Linked DNA regions of Lepisosteus oculatus. The protein of the gene in region 1 interacts with the protein of each later gene in a pairwise test. Links are inferred from orthologs where the notes say so. Each region holds a gene or a part of one and is shown in the gene's direction. Other genes may lie near its edges.

Region 1 (17,262 bases):
CATGGTTATCCATTCCATTACTTTGCTTTGCTTTAACAAAGTGCAATTATTCGTGGCCATAAAACCTACCACGTTTTCATTTTGTTTCACTTTGCTTTTACCACAGTATTTGCGTTTTGAAAAATGGTTGTGCCTGAGACAGGGAATAAAACACAATGGAAAATAACTGACAATTTGTTATAATGATTGTTATGCGTATAACAATTTCCTGCTTTGGAAAATAAAACATACTCTAGATTTGCTATTTGCTTTAGATGTGCTAGGAGATATTATAAAAGAAAATAATAAACCATAGAATGTTTTCTTTAAAAAGGCAAGTTTACGAAAGAAGAACCTGTTCTACTCCTGAAAATATAAGCAGTTATTCAAAGATGCAGTCCTATGTTAAATGTCCTAGAAGAACAGGATATTGTAGGACCTAGCTGATACTTGTATATGTACAGTATATACTGTAAATAAGGGCGCTGAATATTAAAAGCTGGTTAAAACGTAAATTAGTTGCAACAGCGGGATTTGATGCAGATTTCTAAAAGCACCCTGAAGAATAAAATCATCCCTTAATCATTTTACTTTATTTTTTAAAATTCATTAGATTAAAAAAAAACAAATGAAAACTGAACCTCGGGATACTTTCTTTTCTGTTCTGTACTACTGTACAATTCCCATAATCAGGACACAGAATGAAAACATTTGGGGTGATTATTTCAAAATCCAAACATTTGTCTGTTAACACTAACTTTCACATCCCACTGTTCATTTCTACTACAAAGGCAAACAGGGGCATCGCTCTACAGCCTTTGGAACAATTCAACAGAAATTCCCATTTTTATGACTAATTTGACTAAGTTCACAGTGTGGTATAGGAAATCCACTCCAGCCTCAATCGAAACTTAGCAAGACCCTTCACAGGCACTTTTTTACCAAACCAACGTGTGGGCTGATTTGTTTTGGGGATGTAAATTCTTACAATATACCAAGGATAAATAAAAGCAAAGAAAATGTAAAAAACACATGTAAAAGGTTATTCACAGCCAACACACAATTACAATAAAAGAAAAAGAAGAAACCGTTTGTTAAACAGCATTGATTATCAGGTTTGATTACATTCAGGCGATTTCTTTCACGCCTACACAGAAAGATAGTGCTCGCTTGGCATTTAGTTGGAATAAAGCTGAAAAGCACCATCAGTATGAAAAACTTCATAGACTTGACATTTCTAAAGCAAGGTTACACGCACCTACACACTCCTTAAAGAGAGCATACAACTGAAGGAAAGTGGAAATGACCCTGTCACCTGCTTCCCATTATGAGCTGATGCACCAACTGAGCCAGAGTACACTTTAGTGCTGTTCCAGGTTAGACTCAGCTCAGGGAAATAATATTTCCTTGGGAAGATGTTGAGGTTTTCAAAGGAGCAATTGAAATTTCTCTGACCAGCAGCTTTTTTTAGACAAAAAATTGACTAGTGACTACAAACAATCTGCTTCTTCTGCAAAACAGCCTTTTATTTTTTTTTAAAGAAGGTTTTTCAGTCAGCAATGCAGGCTTTAAAAAGGTGAAGGTTGTGGGACCCCAAATCCAAGTGAGATGTTTTATCCCTAAGCTAGGTGCTTGCTCACTCAAGATGATTTGAGTGAGTACAATGTTCAGCCAGAAAAGTGAATACAAATGCAGGTTGAAATGCGTGAAATAATCATCCTAATTAATATGTTTTTGGAAGCAGAACCCCAATGTGCCCAATTGAGAGCATGTTTACCCTGCTGTTGACAAGAGAAAAGATGGTTCCAATCTTGCCTGCCCACCAGCTGTCTTGTGTCTTGTCAATTTACTTTTTGTAGAGAGCTTATTAGCTGTGCAACTAAAGATAGAACCAGCTAACCAGTAATTACCATTGCAGACGCAGACTTCTTTTTGTTATGTCCCCTGAAAAGATAAAAAAATCATCTGCTAAGACTTCTCTTTTAAGTATGAAGGCATTGTTCTTTTTTGCCTTTTTATTTTATTTATCCAACAACCTTTACTTTACTGCTAGTATTGCCGATTGCAGCTCACAAATTAGGACTTTTAATGGGGTCTTCACATTTTATTTTCCTAGAAAAAAAAATAAGAGTAAGAGAGACTGGCCCTGGGCTCAGTTCCGGTCCTGAAGTGTGACGTCTGATTGTTTCCCCCATGTCTGCATGGGTTTCCACTGTGTGCTCCAATTTCTTCCCACTGTCCAAAGTTTCTTCCCCCTGTAGGTTAGTGAAAACTGGCCCTGTTGTGTGTGGGTTTGTGTCTGTCTGTGTTCGGTGATGGACTGGCACCCCATCCAGTCTGCACCCTTCCTTGTACCTGCTGATAGTTTCCTCCCAAGACCCTGAACTGGACAAAGCAGAGCCATTACAAAATGGATGGACGACAAGTAAGGTATATACAGTACATCCTTGATAACTGGAACCGAGACACAAGCTACCTTAGGTCCTGGTGTTCGTCAACTTGGAGTTAAAAAGGCAAATATATCATAAAAAAACCACAAAAAGGGAAATGAACCGTTTATTCACGTATCTATCTGCTACAAAGCTATTTCCCTGAATTATGAACTTGAGCTTTTTCAAAGCCTGTGTTTCCAGGTTATCCAATCGATATTGATTTTTCATGAATAATATAGTGTGTTGCAATGTATCTGCAGTGTTGTGTTTTTTAAATAAAAATGCAATTCTCATACTTCTACATTATAGGTATATTTAGTGTATGTACAATATTTTTATATTCTTAGACATTAATTATTAGGATTCTATTAAAAATAAGACAATGAAGAGACCAATCTGTTACATTCACAACATAGTATATATAAATGGTTCAATTTGAACTGTATAGCAAAACTAAAAAAATGGACATTAAGGATTATGAATTTCTGTTTGTGCTTGGCAACCTTCCTTCATGTCCTGCTCTTATAGTATAATGTGATTTTATATAATATTATTTATATTTTATATTTTATAATATAATATATTTTATAATTATTTTTAATTTATAGGCTAGGACACCATGTAAACATGCTGTCTGGCATTTTTTCCCTTTCAAATTTCAAGGCTAACTATAAACATCTATTTATGAACACACACTGTATACACACATAGTTCTGGAGATGAGACTAAAGTCTCAGTAAAAGTATAAAATGTGTTTTACTTACAAGTATGACATTGTTGAATTAAGGTGTAAATATGAGAAATAGAAGCTCTGAATGCTGACAAATTAAAGGAAAAAAAAACATCTAAATACCTTGCTTTGGAGTATTAGAATATAATAACTTTGACGTCATTCCCTTCAGCATAAACTCACAAAGACTGCAGTTCTGGAATCTGTGCTTCCAAAGGTCACAGAGATACAGGTTGCATAGGGCTGTTTCACCTTGTTGAACTACAGAGAACCCTGTTGAGAAGACCCCCTGACTCTGTTTGAGTTCGTTACCTCTGGCTGCAATACCTCTGCAACACTAATCAGGCCCAGCAGGTGAAATGAGGATTTGACTGTGCAATAAGGCCTGAAGGTACTCCCCTGTTCTCAATCTAATTGTGCGCAGAAGTTAAAACTGGACAAGTCTGGCGAAGGGAGGAGAAACTACAAGGAAGTTAAATTTGCTTCTCCAAGAACAGAATGGAATTTTGTCTTATTCCACACTACATCCACACCATAAAATATTCAGAGGATATTCCTTAGTGTGTCGGCCAGATTAAGGGGTAATTTACTGGCAATACATTACAACCATCATGTTCACTTACAGTGTCCAATGTTCCTGCTTTTCAGCCAGCAATCTGGTACAGTATTTAGATGATTCCAACTTTCTATTAGAAATAACTTGAGTCTGCATTCCATATACAAAATTGTAGAAGTGCTATATTATTGCTCTATTTCTTAAATGATTTCTTTGATGTCAGTGTAGATAAATGAGTACTCCATCAACTTTAAAAATCCCTTCCTCATCCATCTTGGAGTTTTGGTCCAATATTAGGTGAATTACACTGATTTTCTAACTGCTGCATGAGTGCAACTTTTACCAGGATCCTTCCAACTAAAAGGTCTTAAAAGCTTAGGTTCAGGAGCGGTATACATGCTGTATGAGTCTTTTCATTCCATGCTACCACAGCATATATATACATGATATATATATCGCGAGCAACCAACACAATGGTGTGTTTCATTTCTTACAGAAAATGTTATTTTGTGGAGACAACTAGCAGAGCCACTTCACTGTCTTTCACTGGCAGAAGGAGAAATTATATTGCTCTTCAAATAGCTATACGCTAAAGCAGATGAATAGAAAAGTAAACAAAGTAAAATTACACCTTGACAGTAAAACAGGCTCCTGGTGTTTTAAAATAAAATACATACTATATAGAGTATATCTTTTAATTGGCCACCAGCAAAAGATTAAACCTTGGACTCCACTAGGTACAATGTAAAGATGAATATATAAAGATGTCCCTGAGTAATTATGGAAGGCTAGCTGTTTTATTCTGCTGGCAACCCGCAGGTACAGCTGTGAGTGTTGACAGAGGTCAAAATGCAGAAAGGTGTACTATATAAAAACTCTTGACTAAATCTTCATTTAACCCTCGTCTCACAAAAGAAAGAAAATTAGTATCATACAACCGACAGCCTTTGTCCCCCTGCCAAATAATTACCACATTTACAAAGAGATTTCCAATAGTAACCTGGGCAACAAATAGAGGAGTTTGAGTTTTCATAGAGGCACCTATATTTTGAATCTTCAAGGACTGCATTTTGGTCCATCAGTTCTTTCCTCATAATCAGCATTAACAATCAGTCCCAGCATGCTGTGTATGCATTGAATCTGTTCCATTAATAGCAATTTTCAAACCGCAGTGTATAATCTGACTTTCGCATTTGTTGTATTTGGAAGGATATCTTCCTGTTAATGTCTTATATACATCCTATTTGTTGATAGATCACTGTAATATTTCTTTTGTTTGCAAATGTTATTGTTTTGTTTGTGGATTCTTGCCACTTTCAAATTTTTAAAAAAATTTACAGGTAAAATTACTGCTGGAAACAAATGTCCTCTTGTGCTCATAAAATTGCAGCATATTCAGCAGAGCTTTGTTCTGTACTCCGACAGCATTGTATTTATTGAAAAGATAAAAAAACGGTTACATTTTTCTAAGATTATAATTATACCCCATTTTTTCTGTTACAAAATTTTGAGTTATTTTTTTTTATTTGCATTAACACTGAAAAGAGAAAACAACAAGAAAATAAATTGCACAGACTGAAATTGCCAACCAAATAAATTACATGTGTACAGCTCTTCATGTACCTTTATAAGTAGCAAGCCTCTTTAGGACGAAACATCAAACTAGACAGGTTTCACCAAAAGGAAAAATAAGATCACAGTGACATCTTGTGGAACATTTGCAAAAGCAGTCTCCGTATTTTGGATATTTGCTCAGTATTTCGATTTACACTTTTCATACTAGCCTACTAAATCTCATTATTCATAGCCAAAAGTAAAAGTATAAATTCTATTTAGTTATACTTCCTAATTCTGATAAATTATTTAATAGCCAAAATTATTATAGCACTTAAATTATTAAACAGGTTCTGATTTTATTGATGCTTATCAAACCATTTCCCCTGGCAAAAAAGATGATTTGCCTGCAAGATGTCAAGAAAAAGTGAAAAGTCCTACTTTCCTTATCTGATATTCATGATATATCTTCCATTAATTTCTGCCATCTCCCTATTCTTCTTTCATCCTGCCATGAGAATACCTTGGACTCGTCCTGTTATCAATTGGATTCTCATTCTAGGACTTTCATTCTTATGTGTTCCTTAATATAACAAGCTTGTATAAAAACTTCCAATAGTTTATTAACGTAGTAGATCCCTCTACCCAGCAGAGGGAGCTATTTGGTGAAAACATTTCTTACAGCACCTGTTATTATGGAGTCTAGGAGGGGACATCAAATTCAGGTGGCCCCAGGGTATGATCTGATGCAACCGACTTCATATTTGGTGGGAAAGGAGGCTGAGGCTCTGTATGTCACAGCTACACCTATTTCCTATTCAGAGGCTAAAATGTATTGCTTCGGAGACCTGGAGAGGACACAAATCAAAAAATAATATATCTCATGACCACCAAAATAGAAGCCAAAGAGGTGACTTCTTGCAACAAAGACCAAGCTGTATACCAAAAAGAGGTGAAAGAAGATATGTTGTCTGTTCATTTCTTTCTCCATAGTAAATGATTCTCCATTGGATGGCAATAAATATAGCCACTGGATTCAAATACTCAACTGCCTTAAGTCATTGAACCTGACTCTAATAATGGGAATTTTGTCTTTTTTTTTAGTTTTTCGTGACTCAGAGCAGGGGTCTCTAGCCATTGGCCTGGAAATCACCAATTCAGTTAGAGTAATAGGCCTCTCTTGGGAATACTTGTAAGCTTTTGATGAATTATGTATAGAATGCAGGTTTTCGTGCACACTGCTTTGATGTCATATTGCCATTTTCATTAATTAAACAATTCATTAATATCATTTCATTAACAAACTACAAGGATGCTAATGAGTTAATAAGGTATCAAGAACTCCCATGGTAATACATTTTATTCTTTCAGAGCTATAGATATAATCAATAACAAGGGGCACGGTACTCTTCACTTCGACATTCCTGCCTCCTTTTCAACCAAAGGAGATTTTATTTCAAGACCCTTGTTTAATTGTGGTCCCCCCCACTCAAGTAAAACATTGCTTTTTTTAACATAATATTTTTTTTCTTTTTGTTCAACAATAAGGAAGGCAATTAAGATTTTGCATTTTAGCCTGATAGCAATTCTGAATTCACTTCCTCTTAACAGTAAAACTAAGTAAAAAGCACAATGTAAAAATTTCCAGTAAACACCCTGCTGTTGGATTGAAGCAGAGCAACTTTTATAATGAGCTGTTTTGTACAAACATGTTCATACATGAGTTGTGAGCTCTATAAGAAACAGACATTTGTTGAATACTGTGGATCAGTCTTTAGCAGACCTTCTGGTATTGTGAAATGCAACTAACCAGTATTTGGTATTGTATAATGCCATGCTAACATATGAAACCTGCATACATCTTAAATAAGACAAACATCTAAAATAATCGAAACATGCTTAAAATATTTAGCTTGTAATACAATTGATATACATACAATAATGCTTATTTTAATAACCTAATCATCTAGGCATTTCCCCAATAGGTCCTGTAGTTTCAGACTAACTCCACATTTGATATTCCAGTTTTTTGGGGTACAGGTTCCTAAAAATGTGACATCAAATTACAGTTTCTTGAAGTGGCCATTGCACAGTGGCCTCTTGCACTGAATAAATTGATTAACTTCATGAATGGTATATGCTCTGTCATACCTAGTCTCTAGTAATAGCCAGACAGTCCCCCAATCCCACTCATGTATATATTCACTTCCCCCAGGTAACCAGGATCTCATAACTTCACTATCACTATCCAAGACGAGCTCATGAGGCCCAAAACCAAATGCAGCATCACATCTTCCAGGGCTCTCATTCTGTGTTCAGGCTGTGGCTGGTCAGACCCTATATACAGTATTTTCAAGACTATGACCTGTGTTAATATGTGGACTAATGAGCAAAGCAGTCAAGCTGGTGACAGGCCTGAAACACCCCCAGATAACCGACACAGACTTCAACACAAAGAAGAGAAATGATCGCACAGTGCTCCTTGCTGCACTGAATTAGCACTTAATGTGTGTCCGGACTGTGAGTAACTCTTTTAGTGCACCCCTCACTGTACTGATTGTATTGCATGTATTGTACTATTACTATTATTATTGTATCATGCTTTACACTGTGGCTGTGTTGTCTGTGTTAAGATGCTGTTGCACTGCAATTTCCCTCACGGGATCAATAAAGTATCTATCTATCTAAAGTAGGTGCTTTCGAATCTGACGACAAGACCAGCACAGATGTAGGCTGAAATTGGAGAGAAACAAACTGAGAATGCAACTCTCTGATATTTCTTTCTGGATGCACAGTTTAAGCAGATAAACGGGTCACATTAGAGTGTTATTGCAAAAGCTTGCACCCACAGAGCATTATCACGTTTGTTTCGCTTCTTGAAAGAAGAATTGACAAAGACCACAGTTATTGAGGGGAGCAGAGTCCTGGGGATCTTCACACTGCTAGCGTTAACCACAGAAGAAGAAACAAGATGACATGGAGAAAATGTCACAGTGTTGTAGTGACATCATGCATCCATAAAGAAATCAATCAAATGACCATGGGAGTTATAGGAATCTATTCATGTTGTGGGCAGTGTTGAAATTCAACGCTTGAAAAAACTAAAAGAGTCTTCAGTTAGATGTACATGTCGGTCTTATTCATCTTAACATCTAAACTTAAAAATACCAGCACTGTATGAATGATTTAGTTACATAAATCTAATTATTTGGAACCATCAAATATGCATTGTGATACGCCCACTCAGTTTTTAAGGCTCAGATTCCCAGTGGTAACTCCCGTATCTATACATAATGAGGAGAGGGGAATGATGGAGAAGGACCTGCAGACATGTGCCTTCAGCATTTGCCATGCTGGAAACTCTGCGGTGCTTTAAAGGAGAAGTATTGCCACAAGGAGGAGCAGCTCCATTCTCACTGATGTCGCTGCAGGCCTGCAGTGCCTGCTGAGTCACAAGAGCCTCTGGCCCCTTAATGCCCACTGTACCCATGCGGCAATATGCCAATTGGGCACCACCACCAACGGCAGTAAAACGTTATGCTTAATAAAATGGAGAAAAGTTTACGTTTTTCCACTAATTCAGGACCTTGTCAGCCTCAGAAAATTTGATTAAAACACATAAAAGGTCTTGCAAATAAACCAATACTAAATGAGCTTGAATGACTCATCCACTTGTTTACCACCAGTAATAATATTACCACCAATAATAATAGAGATTTTATTCTCTATTATTATTGTTGTTGATGATGTTATCACAGACATTTCCCCTTTTATTAAGTTGGCTATTTTTCTAGTGCTATCTGATTGATGCCCCAGATTTGGGCTCAAGAAGCTCAAATCCATAGCCACCACCTCATAAAGGTGCAGTCACAGTAGGCACTTTTTGCCTCAAACAATAAATACTGTACATACATACACACGCAATGTATCATTACAATTCAGTGTGGAATGATTTTTCTGCCGGAAAATAAAACTTAATCTTTAAATGAAATCTCATTCTTGGCAAACACACTGTCGCCTCCAGCAGCAGAACATCTGAATGAAATCTTGAGTACCTTTGACAGAATCCACCTCTGTTTTAACAGCTTTTAACAGTTTTAACAGAACTGCTAGTTCAGGCCCTGGAAGTATTCCCCTAAGACTACTGTAGTTGGCCAGTCTCCCTGTTATAATCATGCCCTATAACAAACAGGTGAAAGGGTGCGATAGATAGATAGTTCAGGTGGGAAGCTGCGTCAGCATGCGTACGCTGCAAAGGAACAAGTAATAGGTTTATTCCATGCTGAAAGAAAGAAGAGAGAAAACACAACGTTTCGGCCGTGGAGCCTTCTTCAGGTGTGCCTCCTTCAGCTCCTTTGCCTATCCATCCATTTTCTAACAACTTCATCCAATTCAAGGTCGCAAGGGAGCCTTAGCCTTCCTTGGCAAACATTGGGAACGGCAGGGTCCATCTTGGATAGGACACCAATCCATCGCAGGCCAGACACAGCCACTCCCTCACTCACACCAGGAACAAATTTCCCAAAAGCCAGTTAACCTACGCAAACACGGGAAAGTCCAGGTCCGGAATTGCACCCACAGCCCCAGCACTGCGAGAGCCATGATAATCCCTGTGCCACTGTGCCACCACTACCTTTGTCTAGTCCAGACTAAAACTAACCTGTACTGAACTTGTGACCAATCACCTGTGACATGTAACAATATCATATGCTATTTGTATCCATCACTGCTGTGACTTGTTTAAAGTCTAACAGGACCTACAGTACCTTTTCTAAATCTATACTGTCTACCTCTAAAACCCTGTTACCATACTGATGATGCCCTAGTTTAATTCTAATTCTTGTTTCTATAACCTTACATGTAATAGAAGTCAGAAGACCTATTGGTCTTTTTTCATCCTTTTTAAGAATAGATTAAATTTCAGGAAATTCCAATTATCTAGTTCATGGCTATTACCCCTGTCCTAAAAAAGACAACTGGAAGAGTTTAATTAATAGTCCATGATTAACATCTCTTCATTTTCTTTAATTAAATTGGTAGAATATCATCAGGCCCTAGAGATTCGTTAACCTTAATTTCTTCAGATTCCTATAATACATCGGTCTCAGTGCTAATACTATTTTATTAAGAACTTGGTCTTTACTCAGCCTAGAGCGCATTGTCGGTTTCTTTTTTGGTAGACACCTGAGTGAAATATTTATTTAACACTACATTCATTCATTTATTATAAAATTAGCAATAATAATAATGCTCATTTCATTTTAATATGAAAACTGTGACGTGCTGAAGTGTTAGTGTATTTGGCGTTTTTGTGCGCTCAACTCGGAAAAGAAAACGTGTACCTGTAAATCGTCGGCAGTTTTAATTTCTGACAGATTTGTAGAAATTTGCTTAAAACTGATTTTTCCCTCTTTCTATTGCAAGGGTGGTCGTGTCAGCAATATGACTGAAACATATCTTGTTTCAAACAGGAGGAGACCAAAAAGCTACAGACAAGGCCCTTGTCTACATGCTGTACTGTAGAGCTTGAAGTTTCACAATACCTACCCACTCTTTCACAAAAGAAAAAAAAGAGAAGGCTTCTACCTTTGCTGTTCACAAAGCGGCCTTAATAATTATCTAGCTTACTTCCTTGTGACTTTGGACAGGCTGTGCTTACAGTATTTCAAACCAGGAAGGAGACTGAATTGTTTAGCTTACCTTCCTGGCAACCCCATGATGTCACATCAGCCAGGTATGCTATAAAGGCAGAGAGGCGAAACGGAATAGACTTTATACTGTACTTCGTAACTGGAATGCAAAAAACACCTACAAGCGAAAAGAAGTAACAAAAATGGAGTTCTGCCATTCTAAACAGGCGGCGGTATGTGTTTTTGGTTTTATTACTTGATTTATGCATGCCTCAATTAAAAAAAAACATACATAATTAATTCAGGAGCTAAAATAAAAATGTTCGGTTTGACAGTCAAAGGAAAAGATCCGGGTGTTAAAATAAAGGAGGGTGTCGCCCGTCCGTCTTCGCATTAGGTATTTCAGAAACCAGTAATATACTACAAAAGCAAAACTAGCTCGATCGGATTTTGTTAAACGTGCTTTTGTTGAACAGTACGTGCGCCCTAAGTAGTACTTTATGGTGACGTTAGGTTAGTGTTCTTATCCTTCCAGTTGTACTTTAATTTCCGTTTGTGCGGCTTCTTCCATTCTATAAAGGTTTGTAGTACTCATTTCAATTCAATGACAATTTCTGATTTAAACAAGTATCGGTTAGCTGGACAATTGAGGCTGTGTTTTTATGCCGGCCTGTTTTACCCGAAGTTAAATATTTTAGATGGGTGTTCTGTCTAGTTTGGATTACACAAAACGCCTTATAAAACACCATTCGGCTAATAATGTTTAGTTATTATTATTTCTTAAATTTAAGACAGCAGTTCTGTTGCATTTGAAATAATGCTAAAGTATCTGTTATACCCACAGAACGTTAAAAATAGTCCAAACAAGTGTTATTGGTGTTTTTATTTATATATTCGTGTCACAGATTTTCTAGAAACGCTTTTCTCAGGTGGTGTATGATTAAGTGCATACTCCATTCATGTGGAACTTTGTTTAAGTTGTGAAAGGTGTGTGAAGACAAAGGTATTTTTCCTAGTGAATAATTTCTTATTCTCCTACTCTCGGCGGCACATCTTTGTTTCACAAGTGTAAACCCCCCCTTCAAATTACGTGTAGTGGTTTTTTGAGAAACAACACAGATAAGGCCCAGTAATTAAAATAGATGTTTAATGTATGAAACGTGTAGCTGTATTAACTGGTTATCTGTGTTAAATAGATATTCATCAGATTGTCACAGTCAGGTCTTGCACTGTGATTTAGAGAAAGTCTACTTGAATTGCAGTTCTGCTTTAAGCAGTCAGCACTCTGTCATAATGGGAAATAGTTTAAAGTGTTCCTTTTAAATATTTAAAATTTAAGGGAGCAGCACGTATGCAACGTGATATGCTTCTGCTCCTCAGATTGTGGTTAAGTGGTAATGTAAATGTTTTGACACTGTGGGTTTAAGATGTGTCCAGTACCATCTTACACTGTGGAGCAAAATCCGAGACACATTCTAAAATGTTTTGTTTTTGCCTCTTTTAGAAGAAGGTGTTATTATTTCCCTGCCCCCAGGTATGAAGTCAACAGTGAGGCCAAATATTCACAGACTTAAAAAAAAATATCAGCATCACATAGCAATGCAACTGTGCTGGCATATTGTTACTATTTTACATAACTTTCTTCAACCTTTTTTTATAGGAACTAGGTGTTACCCAAGTGATCATCATGAGGAGGAAACCATGAAGCTGGATGGTTCTCAACGTAAGATAAGCCCTTTAGTGGATTTCCCCCAGATGGTCTGGGAACTCAGAAGAAACACAACTGACCTCTGCTGAGACTTGCCTTTCCTTGCGAAACTCAGGTGTTCATGGACCATATGTAAATGAAGATCATATGCTGTCCTTAAACAGCTTCCCGTCTGCAACTAGACATTCCAAAGGCTCCCACGCCATCACCAGGATGGACAGAGGCGTCCACTATCCCTCCAGGGAGGAGAAGCAGGGCAGTCCAGATGTGGCACACCTGGAAGCCAGCGAGTTTCAGATGCAGGTGGACTTCTTCCGCAAGCTGGGCTACTCGGTTGATGAGGTGGTGGCGGTTCTCCACAAGCTAGGCGTCAACGCCGACACCAATACGGTGCTGGGTGAGCTGGTCAGGTGTGGGGCCACAGCTTCAGAAAGGGAAGGGGTCACTGGATCCCCCACTGGCCCCGTCTTAGTTTCTCGAGGGGGCAGCTCAGCCAGAACCCCCTCCAGCCTATCAGCCTCCCCACCGCCACCCCCCGAAGAGGACGAGGAGGAGGGTGGTCACTTGAAACCGATCGTGATCGACGGAAGCAATGTTGCCATGAGGTGTGTAGGTACCCATTAGTCCTCTTCAAATCTTGTTCTTTTTACAGAATTTAATTACACTTTATTTCACAGTGTGGGTGTTTGATTCTTGCCGCGTACAGTGTGGTGACATACCACAGCAATAATAGTGTGAGAAAACATTTGACTTCACAGTGGAATGTGGGAAATTCCTCTCTTCCATCATCATGTGCAACAGTTTGTCGATGACATTTTTAGTGAATGCACATTCATCAGGTTCACATTGTAGGCTGTCTGATCACTTTATTCACTTCTACATTACTAGGCACTTATTTGGTTGACACTTTGGGCCAACGCAGCTTAGATTTGTACCATACGTTACTGTTAAACATGCTGTTATAAGAAAGGCAAACAATAATGGCTTTCTTTACAGTTTTACTTCAGAAGAATATAAAACTGTTGTGTTTGTGCTAGGTAATCAAAGTGATGGGCACCCGGTGCGTTATTGAGAGTCCCTGTTATTTTAGGAATCCTTTGGCAAGCAATTAGAGTGGACAGGGGTAATTGTAAGGTTTTAACAGCCCACAACATTTGAAATGATTTTAAGCTGTCAGGACACAATATTCAGGATTCCCCTTTTAATATAAAAGTGTTTCCTACTGTTTTGGTAGACACACCTCAACAACTTACAGGCACCTGTCTAGAGCAATTAATGCCCTTCTGTAGGTTATTTTATTTTTCATCTGTCACTCAGAGTGCCAGGGTATAAAATCAAACCATCAATCTTTCTAATTAATTTGCCATATACTGTATGTCTTTACTCTGTTGTATCTTTATCTCTACGGTCTGCTTTTGAGATGTAAGGTTTTACTCAAGGCAATACCCCCAAAAACGATAGTCAAAGGATCAATGATTGAGTTTGTTCTGTCGTAAAGATTCATGAGGTTATCTTCAGTAATAATTGTAAGGAAGTAGCCAAGGGCCGGTCTAAAGGTGAAACAGAACATTACAAAGAGCACAGGAAATTTGCTTTCCTTCCTTCATCTTTCCACCTAAAGATTGTTTTTGAATAATTTTCTTGGTAAGCTGTATGTCTGTACTAAATTCAGTGTATGCAAATCTCAATGCAAATCAAAGCACGACTTCCTCCTTTGGGAATTTTCAGAATGGACAGTAATGGCTGAACAGGCTTGGCAGTATTGCCCTATTGCGAAGTCTATAGGCGCTCAAGGAATGAAGCTTGCTGACATTTCTGAGAAGTAGATATTTTTCTGAACATCACTGGTGTATCGGTAATTTGAATTACAGTATATTTTGTTTTTAAAGACTAGCGTGCGTTTATACAAACATGGTATTCAGAATTATACTCTGGTCACTGAGTTAGTGGCATATTTATATGGTCATATGACACAACCTCATAAGATGTGCATCTGTGACAAATGTACAAAAGTTCAAAGATTTATTTTGTCATTATAAAAATACATTTGAAAGAGTGGACCATGTTCTGTTAACCAAAGCTTTTGGTGACAAACCAGTTTTTTAGCTTTGCAAAACTGAAAATTCTAGTTTGGTCAGCAGTCAAAGAGAAAATTTTATACCCCAGCATTCCGTAGTTTAGTCAAAACGTTTCAGCTACTGTATCTGTCGGATATCATGTTTGTAAGGGTGGCAATCTGGAAGAACACACTGTGAAATGAAGTGTTGCCCATTACAGAGAAAATAATATTGCAAAAGAGGATGTTTCAGTGCCTTTAGATTTTTATTAATAGTAAAAAGGTAAGATAAGGCATGTACTGTATATAGTCGGAATATAATAGGTAAAATATAATACTGTAATGGATTTTGTATTATTTTTCAGTATGAAAGATATTGTGTACATAACCTTTCATGTGAGTTATATTTCTTTAATTTGTAACTTATAAATCTAAATTAATATTACAGCTTCTTTTTTGCGCTTGACTAAATGTCCATACTCTGAATTAATGATACTAATGAATTCTTTACATACCATTCAACCATTCATTGATTTCTGCATTCACACAATAGAACCAATGATAGGAATTAAACAAGTTCAGATTTTCATTTAATTGTGATTTAAAAACTAAAACTTTCTTTTTAGACTTTACTTTTAGACCTTACTGTTTTTAAAAATAATAAAAAAGCAATGAAAAGGTGTACAACTAATTCTTGCAATGTTAATTCTTTTTTAAAAATTGCAGTTAACCCTGCAGTATGATACGGGAATACCTTAGGAGTGTTCTCTTCTTTCTGCTTTCTGGTTAACTTTGAATTTGTGATCCATTAGAAACTTTTACTAATTCACAATCTACAAGTTTTGTATTTTTAAATTTATTTGACAGATTAATTCAGGAATAGTTTGGTGTTTTTTTGGTGGTATTCTTGTGTTGTTTGTGTTATATTTGGTTTTAATTCAATATAGGAAATTATGATGGTTTTTAGAATTTCATGTTGTGATTAAAAACAAAGAAGCCTTACCTGATGTATAGCATCAAAAAAGCAGAATATGCTAAAGTTGTTTCCTTGTCTGCTAAAACTATACCTTTTCAACTCTTTATTGATGTATCTGAGTATACATGAAAGTGGTGTTTTAGGATGATTATGTTTTTGTTTTTATAACAGAGCCTAAAATTTAAATTCTTAACTTTTTCTTATACTGCTGTTTTTGTTTTTATTAGAATTGACAGTTGTTTTTGTACATTGTATACCCGTACCATTTAGAAATTGTCAGTTGTACTGGTATGGTGGACCTTCAAGGAAAAAGCAGAAACCTGATCAAGTAGTATTGGTGGAGTAGAGGTTTCTTCCAATTCTTCTGTACCAATGCCCTAGTTTAGTGAGCAGGGACACTGTGCTGTTGAAAGTGCTGCTTTTTTGATGAGACCTTAACATGAACACGGCTCAGCCTCACAGCTACTGGATTCTAAAGTTCGATAATCACATGGAGTGAGCACCTTTCCTGTCACACTGGGCCTTGGGCAAAGTCATCCCTACCGTAATTAATACAGTTCTGGCTTTAGACATTATTTTTTAAAATATCTGTTTTAAGGCTTAATTTCTCACTAGTCTGTTTCAAAACTAGTAATCATAGGTGTTTTGTTTTTTAGCCATGGAAATAAGGAGGTGTTTTCCTGCCGGGGGATTCAGCTTGCAGTGAACTATTTTCTGGAGCGGGGCCACAGCGACATTACAGTATTTGTGCCTTCGTGGAGAAAAGAACAGCCCAGGCCTGATGTACCCATAACAGGTAAAGAATGGAAATGTATATGGAAAATATGTTTGGTGACTAATTCCTATTTTACATACACTAAATTGATGCATTTGAAAGTGTTGTTCCTAATAGTACCAATTTGCATTCATACTTGAAATTCCTGATCCACTCCACGTTCTATCTACATGCACATGAAAGATTAACACAAATAAGGCTTCTGGTTTTTACCATTTTCTTCATACCATGTTCTTTTCATGCCTAATTACACAATGACCATTAACCGAGACAGAGTTTAGATATTTTCACATGCTAACTGCGTGAGTTGTTAAATTAGGAAAAACAGAAAAGCTGTTTTTTTCTGATCAAAACGCACAGAAAAGATGCTACAAAACCAATCGAAAACTGTGCAGTGCTTGTAATGGTGCCTGATGTAAAGTGAATTATGTATAACTTCTGGATTATACAGGTTACTACACCTGTTAATCTAGGTTATCAAGTGAATCACAAATTATCTACTCCCGTTACAAGATGGTCCTGTTAATGTGACTCACTGCTGTTGTCAGAAGTCTAAATGTGTACACTCAATCACCAGAGGCATTAAGTGATTTTATTTCTAAAAGGCAGCTGTATTTTTTCTGAAATGACCAGTACATCTAAAAACTGTATTCTTTGCATTTTCTAATGCCGAATCAGGATAATATGTTGCACAACAGAGGAATGAAGGCCTGGATAATTATTGCTTTTCTGATGTAGCTTCACATGTACAATCGGCTTGTTGGTAGTATGCATAGAAAGACATGACAGAATGGCAGAAATAGAAATTAAGCTGTTTAAAACGTCTTTTGAAGCCCTGTTATAGTTGTGCAGACTAGTCCATGAGT
Region 2 (16,498 bases), on another chromosome or scaffold:
AGGGCCTATTATTTTGAAACTGTGTGAAGGACCATGACCTTTGCCCTTTTCAGCTAAGATATCCCCTTCATATGTATACAGCGAGGTTCTTAGGATTTCCTTCTCAGTGTGCCCTAATTTGTCTTCTGGTGTGCACACTTAATATTATTTTTAAACATTAAACAAAAATATTTGTATTTTACTAAACATATAAAAGGCCTTTTTCCCATTCCAGATTGCCTGCATAAAGGCATTCATTTGATTTTGGAAACTGAGCCTATAAATGGTTGTGATTTTGAATAAATGTGGACATCCCTATATTTCTATTTATATTCTCGCTCAGAGCTCACGAAGACGTATCTCATGACCGCAAATGGGGAAAAAAAGACAAAAATCTAAAATGATTTGGTACAGAGAGACTTTATTGAAAATCTTCATTCTAATATAACTGAAAAGACCAGTAGGCTATTTACTAGGGTCTTCAAATTAAATGAAAAGATTCCCAAGACTCAGGGCACATCAATCTTCTAAGTGTGAGACAAACAAGAATCCCCTCTCATTTGCCTCTATCTTTAGCTGTTTCAAGTCACTCCAATTACCACTTTCTTCCCTAGACTGCAGCCAATGGGACAGATCACCCACTCTGCTTTCCAGGGCTCTGTTTGTCTTTAATTATTAATCACCCTCACCTGTCACATCACTGCCATGGCTACTCACGATGCTGAGCACATTAAGTCAGTGATGACAACTAAATCACGTGTTCATCTCCACTATGTCTAGAGAACCACAGAGTGAGTTGTCAGCTCTTCTCGTTGATTGCAGCTGGATGAACTGAAAGGTACGGACCTCCTTACAAATATTCTTATACCAGTATTGTCTTAGAGTAACCCAAATCATAAAATATATTCAGAGGTTTATATTTCACTGTTTTATAAATGTATTTTACTTCTTAATAGTTTAATTAAATGTTAAAATAGTTTTTTTTCATGCTGGGTATATTGTCTTTCTATAGAGAATGATTTGGTATGTATTCATTGGTTTTATAAATTCAATATATTGCACTTTTTACAAAGGTGATGAAATAAAATTCGTAGGTCTCTTTTTTCAGTCTAAAATAATGCACTAATAGTGACTAACAGTTGTTGGTAGCATTTCCAGAGAAGCATAAAATGTGTGATTAAAAAATAAAACCCATTTTCTGTTTCTTTTAACAGGGAAACTTCCTATGGAGCTGACAAATATTTCATTAGTGAACAACTTCTTGCACCAACAAGAAATCAGGATAGAAATTAACTGGGTGGTTGGAATAAAAGGGACTCTAGCTGTGTCAGCATGTTTTTTCTTCATCTATGTGAACGGCATCATGCTGTTCACCCTGAGGAGCAAAAGCACCTTCAGAGAGTCTTCCCGCTACATCCTGTTTGCCCACATGCTCTTCAACGACTCCGTCCAGCTGCTGACCAGTGTCCTGCTGTACATCTTTGCAACAGCGTATCTGTACTTAGTTACGGCCGTGTGTACCATTATTTTGTTCATATCCAGTACCACTCTTAAAAACTCCCCACTGAACCTTGCTCTCATGTCTCTTGAGCGCTACATAGCCATCTGCTTCCCTCTGAGACACAGTGAAATAGCGACTCCTAAACGGACTTGCATTGCCATAGGGATAATTTGGATTCTTGGCTCTATAAACCCCATAATAGACGTATTGGTTCTGCTAAAAACTGAGCCCACACTTTTCCTAATTCCTATGTTTTGCACACGTGAAAAGCTGTTCATGTCTAAATGGCAGGCAGACATGTATCAAGGATTCAACACTTTCTATTTTGTAGCAGTGGGAGTCATTCTCCTTTACACGTATGTGGCAATAATGTTGGAGGCCAGGTCAGTCTCCTCTGACAGAGCTTCAGCAACAAAGGCCAGGAATACAGTGCTGCTGCACGCAGTTCAGCTGGGTCTGTGCCTCACTTCCTCCTTGTATGGTGTGATAGAGGCCTTGTTAGCAAGGATGACTGTGTCCGTCTACATTCACCTGCGGTACCTCAACTTTGTGGTTCTTCTCATCCTTCCCAGATGTTTAAGTCCACTTATATACGGTCTGAGAGACGAGAGCTTTCGTCCACTTTTTAAATATTATTTTATGTGTGGTTCTAAGAAAGTAAAACCTGTTTTGGTTAAATTTTAAAATAAAATTCCAAATGTTAGGCCTTTAGTTTAATTTTAATTTAAATGGAACAAAAAGTTAACAATAATAATCCAAAACATTTGGATTTATCTTGAACTTAGTCTAACTGAGTTTCACATTTTCTGATTGGTGTGTTCTGCCTTTAACTAGAAAAAGGTTAGTGCAGGTTAAGTTTCTCATCATTATATTGGTAGAAAATGCAGAACTAAATTGCTAGAAATAATGCAATTAAAACAGTTTTTACTCAGTTTGTAAAAAATGTTCAGGTGAAGAAAAAACACATTTTAAAAACTGAAATAATATTTGCTGTTATTTTTGTTTCAAATTAATACCTGGTGGTTTTTACAAACATGTATTAATTATACATGCAACCTGAGAAAACAGACATCCATCCATTTTCTAATGAAGCAAGAGCCTTTTATGGCAAGCAACGGGCACAAGGCAGGATACCCCCCTGGAAAGAAAGTTTAAGTTTTTACCAAGAAAGCTGTAAAGAACATGAAGTTTTGAAAAACGTTCTTACTTTTTTTATTTGTTTTTAATACAAATGTACTGTTGCCAAAACTGTTCTTAAATTTCTAAATGTAGAAAATTCAAATAGAAACTTAAAATTTCACGGATGCTGAAGGTGAGATCATCATGCTTCCTGGATCTTACAACTTATACTGTATATATATTTATAACCTTCAGATAAGCCTTCCTTTAAACAATGGCTAGATAAGACCATTAGATCTACTGTGTGTCAACTATCTACTAGCAACCAACAATCCAGATGGGTCTAACAGCCTCCTTTCATTTCTAACCTTTCCTCTGTTCTTCTAGTCAAAACAATGCTAAACCAACACCAAATTTGTAGTATTATTAAATATATACCATTGCTTGTAAAAAGCCAAATTATTTAAGCACAAAAATCAAATAAAAATTTAAATGTTTTAAATTCAGCATTCATTATGGTCTCTCTATAAAAAAAAAAAAAGGTTAAAGCATTTTAATAGGGTTGTTTAACCCAATAACAGTGAATAATAATAGTAAAGCAAAAAACTAAAGTTAGTGGTAAAAACAAAACAACATTTTTTCCATCAACAGTGTGCTTGTTCATGTTACTGTTGTTAACAAGTATTACTTTAATACTAATACGTGTGCTGATCTGAGTTGCTCATGGGGCACCGTGATGTTATACCAATTCAAACTGAATACATAATTCTGAGACAGCTGTGAACCATTCTTAGAGTACAAATCCTTTCCTTGGTCTTTTTACCCACAGTTCCAAAAGAGATCTATTCCTTATCTCCCATAACTAACATCTCTTTGCTGTTGTTTCCATCAGTACTAATTATCAAAATGATGGATTGTGACTATAGCATGAAATTAATTTACCCCATGAGGAAAAACAACATCATACAGACTAAAGAATATGTTTCCTAAGAGGATGCATTTCCTGCAGGTCTTTTAGGGCACTATCATATAAAAGTTGAACAAACTTGAAACTCAGTTATTATATTCTTCACTGGGCACACGAAGGTAAGATGGCTGGCGATAACGAACAAAAAGCTGAAGATTTAGCACTGGTGTAAATTTAGTAATTACCATTAAAGTACCAAAAAATAGTAAAACCATTTTAAATTGCTAAAATGCAGCAAGATGCATGTAATCAATCTACTCACAACGGGAAACTTAAGAAAAGACTTGTTTAATTCTAAAAATGTATTATTTCCTTTATTCACAATAGTTTCCATTATTCACAATTGCATCTACACCAATTCAATAATCCATCTTGAAAAAGATAATTAAAGTCTACTTAAAGCAAAGCTTACCTAAACTACTAATATAAATCATCTTAGAGACTCTTAAGGGACACCAACATATGTATTTTATTGTACACTATAATCATTTCTTATTCTTTGTTTTATTCAGATTCAATGTTTCATTCAATACAATTCATAAGACTAAATTGAACAGACTTTCTTTCAAATGAGAAAATTATTTTAGTTGTTTTAGTCAAGCTTGTGAGATTTGGAAAAAAAACAAATGGAACAAAGGGCATGGTGCAAAGCTTCTATGCAATTGAATTTGGTATCCTGGAAGTATCAGTAAATATGAATCATATTTAAAGGCACCAAGCAAGTGATAATTGTTAGGAAATTAATGAATATTTATATCTGAAAATGATTCAATCTTAGGAAATACAATAAATCAACAAGAAACATAAATATCATTCCTAATTCTGTGCATATTTATAAAGGCCTTCTCTATAGCATACAAGAGACTGTCTTCTAACAATTCAAATAGAGGCGAGAGTGGGACTGTGAAACGTCAATTCTTTACAAAAATAATGTTTTCAATTTCTGTCATCTGGATAATGACTATAATGCTTATTTTGTAGGTTCTCTGGGCCACATAAAACACAAGAAAGTCAGGGTTGGCCCTGTGTGTTACATGTGTGCCTAAGCCATGCAGAATTCAACTGCTCTCCCAAGCAATGTGACCTCTCCTGCCAGCAGTCTGTCAGTTGTGATAAAGATCTGTGTGGTCACCCCCCTTTTCTGCACCTTTTTGTACTTCATAATTCTGATGCTCTTCACGTTCGCCTCGCACAGACAGTTCTGGGAGAATTCCCGCTACGTGTTGTTTGCCTACATGCTGATCAACGACACCGCCCAGCTCCTGTTCTCCGTGCTGCTCTTTCTCTTCGTCATGACCAACGTGCGCTTCGCTGTCGTGTTCTGCACACCCCTGCTGTTCATCTCCACCGCCACTTTCCAGAACACGCCTCTCATCCTGGCCACCATGTCTCTGGAGCGCTATGTGGCCATCTGTTACCCCCTGCGGCACCCGGAGATCTGCCGAGTGGACAGGACCTGGATCGTGATGGGAGCTGTTTGGCTGATCAGCTGCATCCTTCCTGCCGTCGATTTTGCTCTAGCTGGGTCTTATTCGGACATAGACGTGTACTCGACCCCTGTACTCTGCAAGTCACAGGTCCTTAACTCTTCCCCCACTCAAACGCTGTTCAAAGTCACTATGAACGTCTTGTTCTTTGCTCTAGTCGCTGTCGTCATCCTGTACACCTACATCCGCATCTTGCTGAAGGCCAGGAAAATGCACTCCGACAGAGCCTCTGTGAAGAAAGCCCTGCACACTGTGATACTGCATGGAATCCAGCTGCTCCTCTGCATGATGTCCTTCACGCATCCCATCACTGAGAGCCTGATAGTGCTTCACGTGGGCTGGCTGAAGGAACACATCTCCTTCTTCAACTACTTCTGTTTCATTCTTCTGCCCCGCTTCCTCAGCCCACTGATATATGGCGTCCGAGACGAGAAACTCCGAACTCGCATGAAGAGAGCCATGCTGTGCTGTTCCAATAAAAATGTCCCATAATCCCTCAGGTAACCGCTTAGTAATACGAGACAAGATTTTCTGTCAAAGATCACCAGGGAAACCAAGTGTTTCTAAAGAAAATGAGGTACGTCAAGATATTTATATGTTATCATCTGATTTGTTTGTTATTCCACTAATGGAAAGCCAGATTTTTCTGATGCCATGATGTTGTGGTAAATCAATAAATAAAAAATACATAAGGAAAGCTTGTACATCTTATTTTTTTATGCCAACACAAGGTATGAACAGGAATTAATGCTTGGTTGATTGCAATAATGTTTTTTTTGTTGTTGTTGCTGCATAGCCTCTATGCTAGCGAGGAACGTAGAGGAAGAGTTTTATATTCAAAAGCTGAGGGTGGAAAAATTATTTGGAGATTTTAAAATATCAATTTGGGCAGGTAAAACTAAATTTTCTTTCTTAACAGCAAGTGTGGGTTTTTTTCATTGCTAACAGATTCTATAATATCACATCTAGAATTAAAAAAATGAAAAGAAAACATGTCCTTTGTCTTTAATTTTTGCTTTTGTTGCTAAACTCAGGTTTTGGCGCTCTTTAGGCTCGACAGCTTTCAATGAAAGCCTTCGCCTTATGCTTCAATTTAAATTTTTCCAACCAGTGCTTCATGATTTTGGTGCAGAAAAGTGTAATTTTTCACCCTTGTCATTTATATAGCAATACTGCCCCCTAGGCTTACCTTTAGGTCAACTGCCTAACCAGCTTCCCAGAAAATATTGCAAAATTCCAGCCGAGAGAACTCACTTTCAAAGGAGCAAAATGCCGCAAATATGCCTTGAATGCATGATAGTACATTAATGAATACTTAATTTATATGTCATGAGAATGACAGCTAGCTTTTCAATTATACTCTTGAGCCTTTTCTGTATTCCAGTCTTCAACAAATGAATAAAATTCCCTTTGAATCTGAGTAGATAAAAAACTAATCCAACCCATAACACCTGTCCCTAATTGTGCTTTTTGTGCCTGTGGGTAATACTATTAAAATGGTGTTTTATCTACTATATCTACTATAATATACTGTAAACATATTTAATTGAAATAAGTCCTTTTTGCAAATTGACTTAATTTTACCTGAAAGGAATCTCATCTAATTATTATTATTGCAATCATTTATTTTTGTTTCATTAGTCTGTTCCTGTCTTTCAAAAATGAATATATATTCTAGGGTTAGAGTTTATATATACAGTACATGCTCCCAGGCTGCTAGTAATCTATGTCGAAATCAAAAGCTTGCTCTTAAGTTGTAATTGTCCCCCTCCAGTGCATTTCTCATGAATAAATAAATCCAAAAGTATCTATAGCTGACATTTTAACATTTTTACTAGAAAACCTGAGAGGAATGCTTTTTGCTCTTTTTAGATTTTGCACACAATTTCACGTGAAGAAACATGTAGAAACATATTCCTTGCAGAGGATCCACATTGTAGGCTTTACTTTCAAAGATGATTCATTTGGCTTAAGGGGTTACAGAAACACATGTTAAAGATGTTGTAATCATTCAAGAAAGAAAAAGGATGATGGCTCAGGGAATCGAACACTACTCTAATGAAGAGTTGCATAACAACAGCTCTTGGTTACAAAATATACATGAAGGCTCTGCAATTAGTGAAAACAGTGTGAGAAAACAGCGTCTTAATTAACTCCCAATCAGACTCTGTGCAGTTTATCCCAGACCATTAAGGAAAACAATTGAATGTAGTGTTACATGAGCTAAACAATGACTCAGCATTTGAAAGCAGGTTATTTTTCTCACTGCTCGACTTAGGGGAAAGTGCCTGTGTTTGTATCTAAGCTCCACACAGAGCCTGTAATTCTATTATTATTTTTTTTAATTTGCATTATTCATCTCCCTGGGCTCATATCAAGGGAAGGGTGTTTTCAATTCGGCTAAGGAACAATTCTACTCCGTGTCTACTTAAAAATGTGAAACAACCTTGGTTTTGCTTTGGTTTTTTTAAAGGGTTTCTAGACAGACAGTGGAAGACAGGGAGAGCAGGACTGTCAGACACATCGAATTCTGCTTTGGTGGTTTAGTTTAGCCAATGGAAATGTGTGCAGAATAGGCATAACAATTTAAGTCAACACATTAATTTTGTGTCGGTATGACATTTTCAAGACTTTATTAGTATGCATTTACTGTAGCTCAGGTGTTTCAGTTTCCACTTACACAAACTGATCAAGTGTGCAAACAATTGAATATTACATTTTAAAAGTGTGATAGTGTGGGGAGGTTCTAAGATACAGATTAAGAACCTCAGATAGATAGATATACAGCATATATTTCAGATACAGATACTTTTGGATCTAATTATTCATGAGAAATGCACTTGAGGGAAATGATTACAAATGTAGAGAAGCTTTTGATTTAGATTTCGATTACTAGCAGGCTGGCGGCATATATATGTAAATTTTAATGCTGTTGTCTGATGTGTTTCAAGTCTGTCAATACAAAAAACCCAGCACAGGGAAAACAATCGTATTCTGTTTAGCAGCTCTAGTGCAGGATGACTGCGATTCTATTGGAAGAAATGTTTCAAGTAAAGTTGAAACAGCTAAGCACTTCAGAAGCATTGAATTATTGTTTTTGTGACAACCTACATTTTGTTTTCTGAGGTATAACACTCCAACATATTAGAAACTTAAACAACCACTTATGATTATGCTTTTTGTGGAGGCGGTAAACTAACAATGGAAAAACGTACCCTGTACTTTTTCCAAGAAAAGTGACAAGGGACACCTGAAGTAGGCTCCACAACCAAAACCCTGTGTCTCCTTTCTTTTCCTTTCAGCATGAAATAAAACTTTACCTGTTCCAATTCCAGCATTTTGGTTTGAGTTCCAACTTAAGGAGTCATTTTATCCATCTGCCTATTCTCCCAGTTAGATTCTGTATATATGTTTTATTTAATGGTCGACTTATGCAGCCAGTTACTCAAAACGTTCACTTCATAAAAGGTGCAGTTACCTATAAAACCCCTCGTAGTGTAGCAAGGCGTTTTACAATTAGGCAGTTAATTAAATTTAACACACACAAAAAAAGAAAACAAAAGACGCTTGACTTTCCAGGAGCCGAGTTTGAGACAATTGATTTAAAAAGCTTGATTCTCTCTGAATGTTCTCTATATGCTAATTCTACTATTTCCTCCTGGACGTTAGTACGTTTTGCTGTAAAACTCAATTAAGACCAATTCACACCGTTGAAAAAAACACTTTAAAAAATGTAAATCCTTTCACTAACCCCATCTGGAGGTGAAGGAGTTAAATGAAATGGAACGCTCTGCTTCCCAAGTGACCTTTGTATGTTGCTTTCCCCAAGATGCATTTAAACCCTCTTGTTATTATCATTTAATTTATTGTCTGTAATTGATTGTGAAAGTCTCTGCAAATCGGAATGCAATCCTCGGCAGATTACGCGTGTAACTGCTGTTTTGCTATTCGCGTTGAAACGATTAGTGATGGTGATGTTTCAGGTTTGTATTTTTACAATTACAACTCTTAAACGCGTGCTTTGTTCTACGTGTATATCCCTACCTCTATTTTACCTTTTTAATTATAGAGCAGTGGAATCCTTGATAAATTAATAATAATATAAATTAATTAAATAATCTAGTGCTCGTTATAAGGATTTTCGAGTAAGAGTGGTGTGATAGTAAAGATTGGTTTTTGATGCATCAATATGTATAATATGTATGTATGGTTTCCCAAGAGTCCTAACAATAAATACAAATGAATTTTGATTAAAACAATAAACACTATTTCGGGGGTATTTTATTGGTATATTCGGCGGAGTCCTAGAATTTAACATTTTTAAGGTGTGCTAATTGATATAGTTTTTAAAATAAAAACGTTTCAAATGGAGAAAACTAATAACAGTTTTTTGATATGAAAACTAGTGCATATACATTTATTTTAGCATTTTCGGCCCCTGTCCCAGAAAACGCCATAAACTGTAATTTAAATAAATATACATTTATTTGTTTTGTTCTGACCTCATAAATTCGTCTCCTGCAAGTGTGGGCTGATAGCAGTTAGACCTCCTGTGTTCACTTAGTACCTCATCTGCGTGGTCTCACATTTCTGCAGAGAACTGCGCTGGCCACAAGGAGTTTTGGGAGTTGCAGTTAAAACGTCTGAAAGTAATTGTTAAAGGTTTCGAGAAACGCTTTACATTGTGCTGAACTACTGGCTTTTAGCAAGGAAAATGCGATGTTTTTTTTTTATATCCGTTTTCGTCGTTTATGCTGAACGTATTTAATGCGACTCTTTTTTTAAATTAAAATGACTTATCGAATATTATTCAGACACCGTGGAATATCTGTCTTCCTGAAAAATCTCCAAATTCTGGTTTTCATCAACTTCATTGTGGTGCCGCCTTCTCTCGGTGAAATTTACACTTCTGTGGTTAATGTGCAGAAAGCCATTTCTGTAGAGAAAGAGCTCCTAAGCCATTTAAGGACCTATATTGAGGATGAAACCCTCAGGCTGAATGACATCAAAAGGTGGGTCCCTCTCTGTTTCTTGGCTAAATTCAGAATGATTTGTGTGTTAAGAGTGGCTAAGGCTATTTACCGTTTACGTTTTGCTTATCACTTTGCATTCATATTGCAGAGCTGTTAACCACAGCTGACAACAATTTACCATCAAGTTATCATATGGAAGTCACGCATTCTGGCAATATTCGGTCATATAATGTTTACTATTGAATATCACGTTTTAGATTCTAGAGGCGGGTTTTTTTGTGCGTGTGTTTCGATAAGGCACTACTAGCCTTTTCCTTTTCTCTTGTGTATTGGAAAAGCATACTAGCCCGTTAGCCCTAAACGGGTGTAATCTAAAACTTGTGCACGCCGCTTTCGTGAGATGCAGCGAGTCCGTCATGGCACGCAACTGTCATCGCATAAGGAGTAGGATATGCTCAAATGCTATGGTGTGTGTGTGCGCATCGTAGTTTTTTTTGTGGTGTTTGGACTTGGAGAGAACCCATGTTATACTGAGTAAAGGGAAACGGTTTTTGAATATGACTGAAGAGGAGAAAGCTCTCATCCCAAAAAGTACTCTTTAGCCGTGTTACCTACAGTACCTCTCATTTATTTATGTGTTCTTGTATTTGTGCTGGTTTCCCCTGTCTTGCTATTGGGATTGGGGTATCTTATTTACTAACCAATGGACATGAGGCAGAGCCAGGCTAACAGCATGTGTCACCAGCCTGTACTCTTTTCTCCTTCTCTGAAGGAGTGTGTCCTGTGGGGAGCAGCAGGGAGCTTGATCTCTGTTGTTCCCTTCACAAAGGAACATTTTACTATGGCTTCTCGCACGGCTCAGCAGCCAAAACTGAATCCTAAAAAAAAAGGGTATTCTTTTCCCTGGTCATCGCAATTCCTGCTGTGTATTCAGCCCTCCTCTCTCAGACCCATTGATTATTCAATGTATACTTTCATTAGCCAGCTCTCTGTGTGCTGGCTTCTTTTCTTTTTCGATGAATTTTACTAGTTGTGTCTGACACTTTGTCGCCCATACTTCATTATCTGTTAATTGGACTAAGGCCTAACCCAGCCAGGAATATCGCATTTCAAACGCATCATTTGAAGGCAGGATTCAGGGGCTACTTATTAAATGGGAATCAGCTGTCAGGTGCTGGGTTTTGCCTTTGTAGCTGGCGGGTTCAGTTTTTTTTCTGCTTTCCGTTTTTCCTGCCATTCTAGGTAGGCAAGGCAAACCTGCAGGTAGTTTTTAGCTAATAACCAGCTAGTATAACAAGTTAGTAGTATCTGTATACAGACACAGACCTTAATTCATTAATTAAGGTCATTCATCTTTTGGAATAAATAATTTATGCAGTATATAAAAAAAAATTGGAACTCCGTTGTTCTCAGGCTTTCATATGTGGTGCTATAGATAAAGTCCTTTACACATCAATCCTGTCTTTCCTTTCAGATTCTATGCGAAGGTGGCAGACCTGCACAGTCATGTGTATCACAGTCCAGTGGCAGCAATGGCTAATCCTCTGGTGGCATACACGTTGATTAAGCGCCTGCAGTCTGAGTGGCTCAATGTGGTTCACAGCAATGAAGCCCACGAGAACTCCCAAGGTGACAATTTCACGGCCGGTTTGCTTAACAGCTGAAGATCCCCGAGACACCATCACCCGCCTGCCCTTCCCCCTTCCAGGAAGTAGCTGAACACTTTCAGTCTCTGAGTTCTGAGGGCAAAATAGTTCAATGTTTTAGTTTTTGAGTAGCGTGCTTTCCAAATTGCCGCGGTCCTTTCACCAGTTGACGTCTAATCAAGGCACGACTGGCTTATAAAGCAATTTTTAAAATTGTTTTGGTCGCAATGCTGAATTCTGGGGCGGAGAATGACCCAGTTTCCTTGTCGTTGTTTAGCCTTCAAGTCAGGCTTTGAGAAAGAGGAGGGCCGCCTGCCCAACTTCGAAGATCTGGAAGGGGCTGCCAAGGGGCTGATGAGGCTCCAGGATGTGTACTCTCTCCGTGTGGAGGGGCTAGCGAATGGACTGTTCCAGAGGGTCACTGCAGGTCAGACAATGGACATTTACAGACCTGCTGTCATCGTCCCCCTCTCAGGAGACGACTGCTTCCAAGTTGGAAAGGTGGGAAAACGCAAACAATCAAGGTTCTTCTGAGATAACCTTGATTGAATGGGGATTCTCACTGATCTGTGCATAATTATAGCAGTTAATTAATTATTCAATAAAGCCAAATAAGAGTCAGAAATAATGGCAATCGAGGCAAGGAAAGGTTGTTTAAAGTTCTGTAAGCCGAAACTGTTGCAGACAGTTCAAATAGGGTTTTTTTGACTGTTGGGACTGAGTGAAGAAACAAGTTCAATAATAGTCTAAACAAGAAAGCAGATCAATTAAGTCGTCAATTATCAATGGGTATGTAGGGCTCAGCTTGAACAACAGCCACAGTGACAGTGTTGCTCTAGGACAAAGGTTGGAATCCACTACCCCATATGTTGTCAATAAGACAGGAGGATCAACAAAATGCCGACTTGTGGGGTATGAATAATTTTGCACATTGTTTACTTAGAACAGATTTGGTTTTGCAATACCCTGTACCTGTTGCAAGTGTACATTCAGTATAAGTAATTGTTTTGGTAAAACCAAGTTTTGCATCAAATATCATGTCCATCAAGGGTAGCAATATACAGTATATTAATTGTATGAATAAAACTTGAGCCAGCTGTAATTCTCTTTTTCTTCAGACGCCCATGATGTCAAAGTGTTTTGGCAGACAAGTGCCCTGATTTCACAGCTAAAAACTGCGTCCTGACTTCCCACTCTTAAAATTCCACAGTGTAGAGAATAATTCCAGCATTAGATTGTTCGGTCTTTAAAAGGTCATAGATAAAGAAATCCGCGCATTCCCTGAGCACTGCAACAAGTCACTGGTGACTTCTGTGTGTCATCAGCTGCCTTCGAAGGACTCTTCACATTTTTTCCTTTAAATTTGCGTCGGCTAGGAAAGAGTATTCCACTGTTTTGGATTTGTTCCTTAAAAACATAGAATGAGGATCTCCCTGTTTTTCTTTTTCTACTGGTCTCTGGCTATATGAACCAAGTCTGTACAGTAAATAGAAAAAGTACCTGCCAGGGGTTTACATTTTCAGATCCATAAGCTACTGGCAACCAAATGACAATTGTTCTGATGGTCCTTGAGCATGGAGGAATTAGTTTGGATTAGCTGTAAGTGTGCTGATGCAGGTAGCAGCTGGACATGTTGCCTGTCGGGGTGTGTTTCAGGTGGCCTACGAGATGGAGGACTTCTATCACTCCGTGCAGTGGCTGGAAGAGGCAGCTCGCCTGTTTCGCAGGGCTCAGGGTGAGTGGATTACTGAAGATGAAGGAAACCTGAAGGACACCCTGGACCACCTGGCCTACTCTCACTTCAAGGTAGCCACATTCTCCCTGTTTCTAGCTCCCTTTCTCTGTCGCTCGTTAGTTTTCTTTCTCCTGCGTTAGGGGCCTGTCGACGCAACCGCTAAACAGTAATCCAGCACTGCCTCTGCCTGACAGCTACGGCTTACAGTAAGTAAAATTGCAGATGGGCGATTTATTTTGTCTACAGCTAGGCTAGAGTTTGAAACGGTGGATGGCAAAACATGCTTACCATACAACTCCAGACAGACGCACAAATGTTCGACTTAAGGTTCACCCTGCTTGGTTTTGTATGTAGGAGATTGTACGTGCTCTGTTCTGCTGTTTTCTACATAGCTCTGCATCTGTTTAGAACTGCTTAATGCAGTTTGTAAAACCTTTCAGGAAATGGGATGGGAGAACACCTCCAGAACACCTGGAATGTTAATCAGACCATCCAGGGGGCATTTAAAAAGGTACAGTGCAGGGTAATTCAGAGCAGTGCCCACTGACGGAGATAGATAGGATTCTGTTCAGGAGAACTAGCTTTCTTTTCAACAGGCATTGAGCTCTTTTTTTTTAACGCTGTGTTTCAGACGGGAAACATATCCTACGCTTGGGTTCTCTCCCAGGAGCTCCTGCGTTATGGTATGTTTTTATCCACACTAACCGTACAGACTTACAGTATCTTAAAACAATACAGAGCACCAGCATAAGAGTCTGTGTCAAGCAGCTGCTTTTCATATTCTGCAGGATGAGATCCTATGGCATTTCCTTAATATACTGTATAAATGCTGTGCACATCGAATCATCTGTGCATTAATGTGGTTTTAGGTTTAGGTCTGCTTCAACAGAAGCGGAATATTAGGACAGGTTAATGCTTGTTGCTTGTTTCTCATGTTTGACGTTTCTAAAACATTTTATGGCTGTTCTAAAAAATATTTTACAGTCTAACATTATATTTAGAAAAAAGCTAATCGTATTGATATTCGGTTAAAAACTTTCATTTATTACAAGCTTTTCTTATGATTTTTTTTCCAGTTGTTCTGTTGGTTTTGCAGCGAGCTTGGCTCAATTCTAATGGCTTTTCTATTTAGCTCCCACATGGTGGAACATCCCATCCCTTTAAGATCACTGTTTTAGGCAACAAGCTGAAACAGTCAGGGTTACGCCATGCTCAGAGATTCTTTTGTATTTGTTTTTAAAGATCCTTCCAATAAAAGGGTTTCCCGGAACATTGAAAAATATGAAAAACTCCTTGCTGCATCTCCACCCATAGAATCCCACCATACTGTCCTGCAGAGACCAAACTCCACTTACTTGCACACAAGACATGTGTATGAAAGGCTGTGCCAGACTCTGGGGTCCCAGGTAATAACATATATCTTCTTTTGAGTCAGTGTTTGAGTGAGGAAATTGTTCATATAAAGAATTTAAAAGCACTACAGAAACAAAAGTCATCTGATCAATGCTGTTACCATTATGCTCCATTTTTTTTATTAAATGATTTTTTTTATGTTCATCTTCAGAAAAATCTGTATACTCATGTGTTTGTAGGTGGGGAGTGTTAAAGGGTTCATATGAACACCTGTGGATATAGCATGAAACGCCTTGTTACTTTTTAAGACGGAATGTATCTGTCATCATGGAGTTAAAATATAGTTGAAAGCGCCTTTGTGTTCTCTATTACAGACGCAAATCTAATTCTAAAAAAAGCTTTGCAATATTCTTGAATTCAATTTTTTCTTGTAATGTTATATTGACCTCCGTTTACAGGCCATTTTAACATTTTAAATCTTTATGCAAAAAAAAAAGAAACGTTGAAAAGGGGATTCACGCAAAGTAGAAAAGGTTATTAATTAAACTTGATTTCCTATTCAAATTAACGTGTCCGTCATGTTTTAGAAATTGAAAGCTTTAATTTCATGAAATACCGTCACATCTTTCAGTCTTTGAAATGGGAGTTGAAACTGCCGCTGAAACCAGAAAACCTAATGCTCAAGAGAACAAAAAAAACAATGGTCTTTTTTTTTTTATTCCAGCTTTGTAATAAGCTTCATATGCTGTTTCTGTTTCCAGCCAAAACATTATGAAAACCCCGGGCTGTTCTGCGATTACTTTACTAACGGCAACCCAGGTCTGATTCTCGAGCCAATGAAACGAGAGGTCGTCAGCCTGGAACCATATGTGGTTCTATACCACAGCTTCGTCAGTGATGCGGAGGCTGAAAGTGTGAAGAGCTCTGCAGAACCAGGAGTAAGTTTGTACCCTTCGCATTGGTAATGCTCCTGTTTGCTCATGCCATAAGAATGCCATGCATCTGGGATGCACTATGCTTTCTCCATCTCTGTGCATCGCTTTTAAAAATAGCACAGTTGTACCAAGTTTCTCAGGCCACACAAGCGTCCACAAAAAGGCAAATATATTCTAAAGTGTTAAAAGTCCAGCACAGGTAATGGCAGTGCTAAATATAATGCATGTTTTTCTCTCCATAGATTCAGTTTCAGAACTAGCATTAGTGAGTGTAGTTACAAGCCCACTTAAAAGCAAATATACAAAACGGCATACAGTATAGGCAACAGTAGAGCTGGTATATCCTCCTTGTAAAATTTCATTGACACACTTGAACATCAGAAGTTTATTACTCATCCGATAACACGCAAACAAAAAGTATCTTTGAGATTGGGATTCTTGTTCAGGTGATGTGCAAATGTGACCGACCGTTTGCGTTTCGCAGACATTTCGGTTTATTTGGCTTGGCAGTCCTGTTAAGCTTCTGTTTATTTTAGGAAGTTTCCAATTTTGAAAGTTTGGAATCGGGTTTGTTTAGCGGAGCTTCAGGCTGGCGGCCAGGTGTACATTTTCTTGCTGCTTTATCAAGGAAGGTTTAGATTAAACTGGCAGCCGGACAGTCATACATTCAACTATAAACCGTAGTCGATGTGGCAGTGAGTATATTAACTACTGGTCTGACTTGATGTTTTGTTTTATCTTCTGGTAGGTCACTCGGTTCAGCCTAGCTAATTTGAATAAATTTACACCTTTTTTTGTGGCTC

The links.
Region 2: the proteins of ribonuclease ZC3H12A (region 1) and p4ha3 interact in binary tests that used the Homo sapiens proteins (3 or more experiments, as listed by UniProt). The two-hybrid records come from large-scale screens. The link is inferred for Lepisosteus oculatus from reciprocal best matches to the Homo sapiens genes ZC3H12A and P4HA3.

Annotation. Positions count from the first base shown.
Region 1 is NC_090706.1:5,512,640-5,529,901, forward strand, and holds the start of ribonuclease ZC3H12A, read left to right. Parts: upstream 1-10,988; 5' UTR 10,989-11,114; intron 11,115-12,541; 5' UTR 12,542-12,736; coding exon 12,737-13,194; intron 13,195-16,277; coding exon 16,278-16,417; intron 16,418-17,262. UniProt on the Homo sapiens protein: Endoribonuclease involved in various biological functions such as cellular inflammatory response and immune homeostasis, glial differentiation of neuroprogenitor cells, cell death of cardiomyocytes, adipogenesis and angiogenesis.
Region 2 is NC_090700.1:9,362,503-9,379,000, forward strand, and holds the start of p4ha3 (prolyl 4-hydroxylase subunit alpha-3), read left to right. Parts: upstream 1-9,579; 5' UTR 9,580-9,844; coding exon 9,845-10,065; intron 10,066-11,500; coding exon 11,501-11,655; intron 11,656-11,949; coding exon 11,950-12,173; intron 12,174-13,328; coding exon 13,329-13,478; intron 13,479-14,038; coding exon 14,039-14,090; intron 14,091-14,649; coding exon 14,650-14,813; intron 14,814-15,521; coding exon 15,522-15,698; intron 15,699-16,498. Other genes in the region: odorant receptor 131-2-like, read left to right, coding at 1,205-2,164; or95a1 (odorant receptor 129-1), read left to right, coding at 4,616-5,545. UniProt on the Homo sapiens protein: Catalyzes the post-translational formation of 4-hydroxyproline in -Xaa-Pro-Gly- sequences in collagens and other proteins.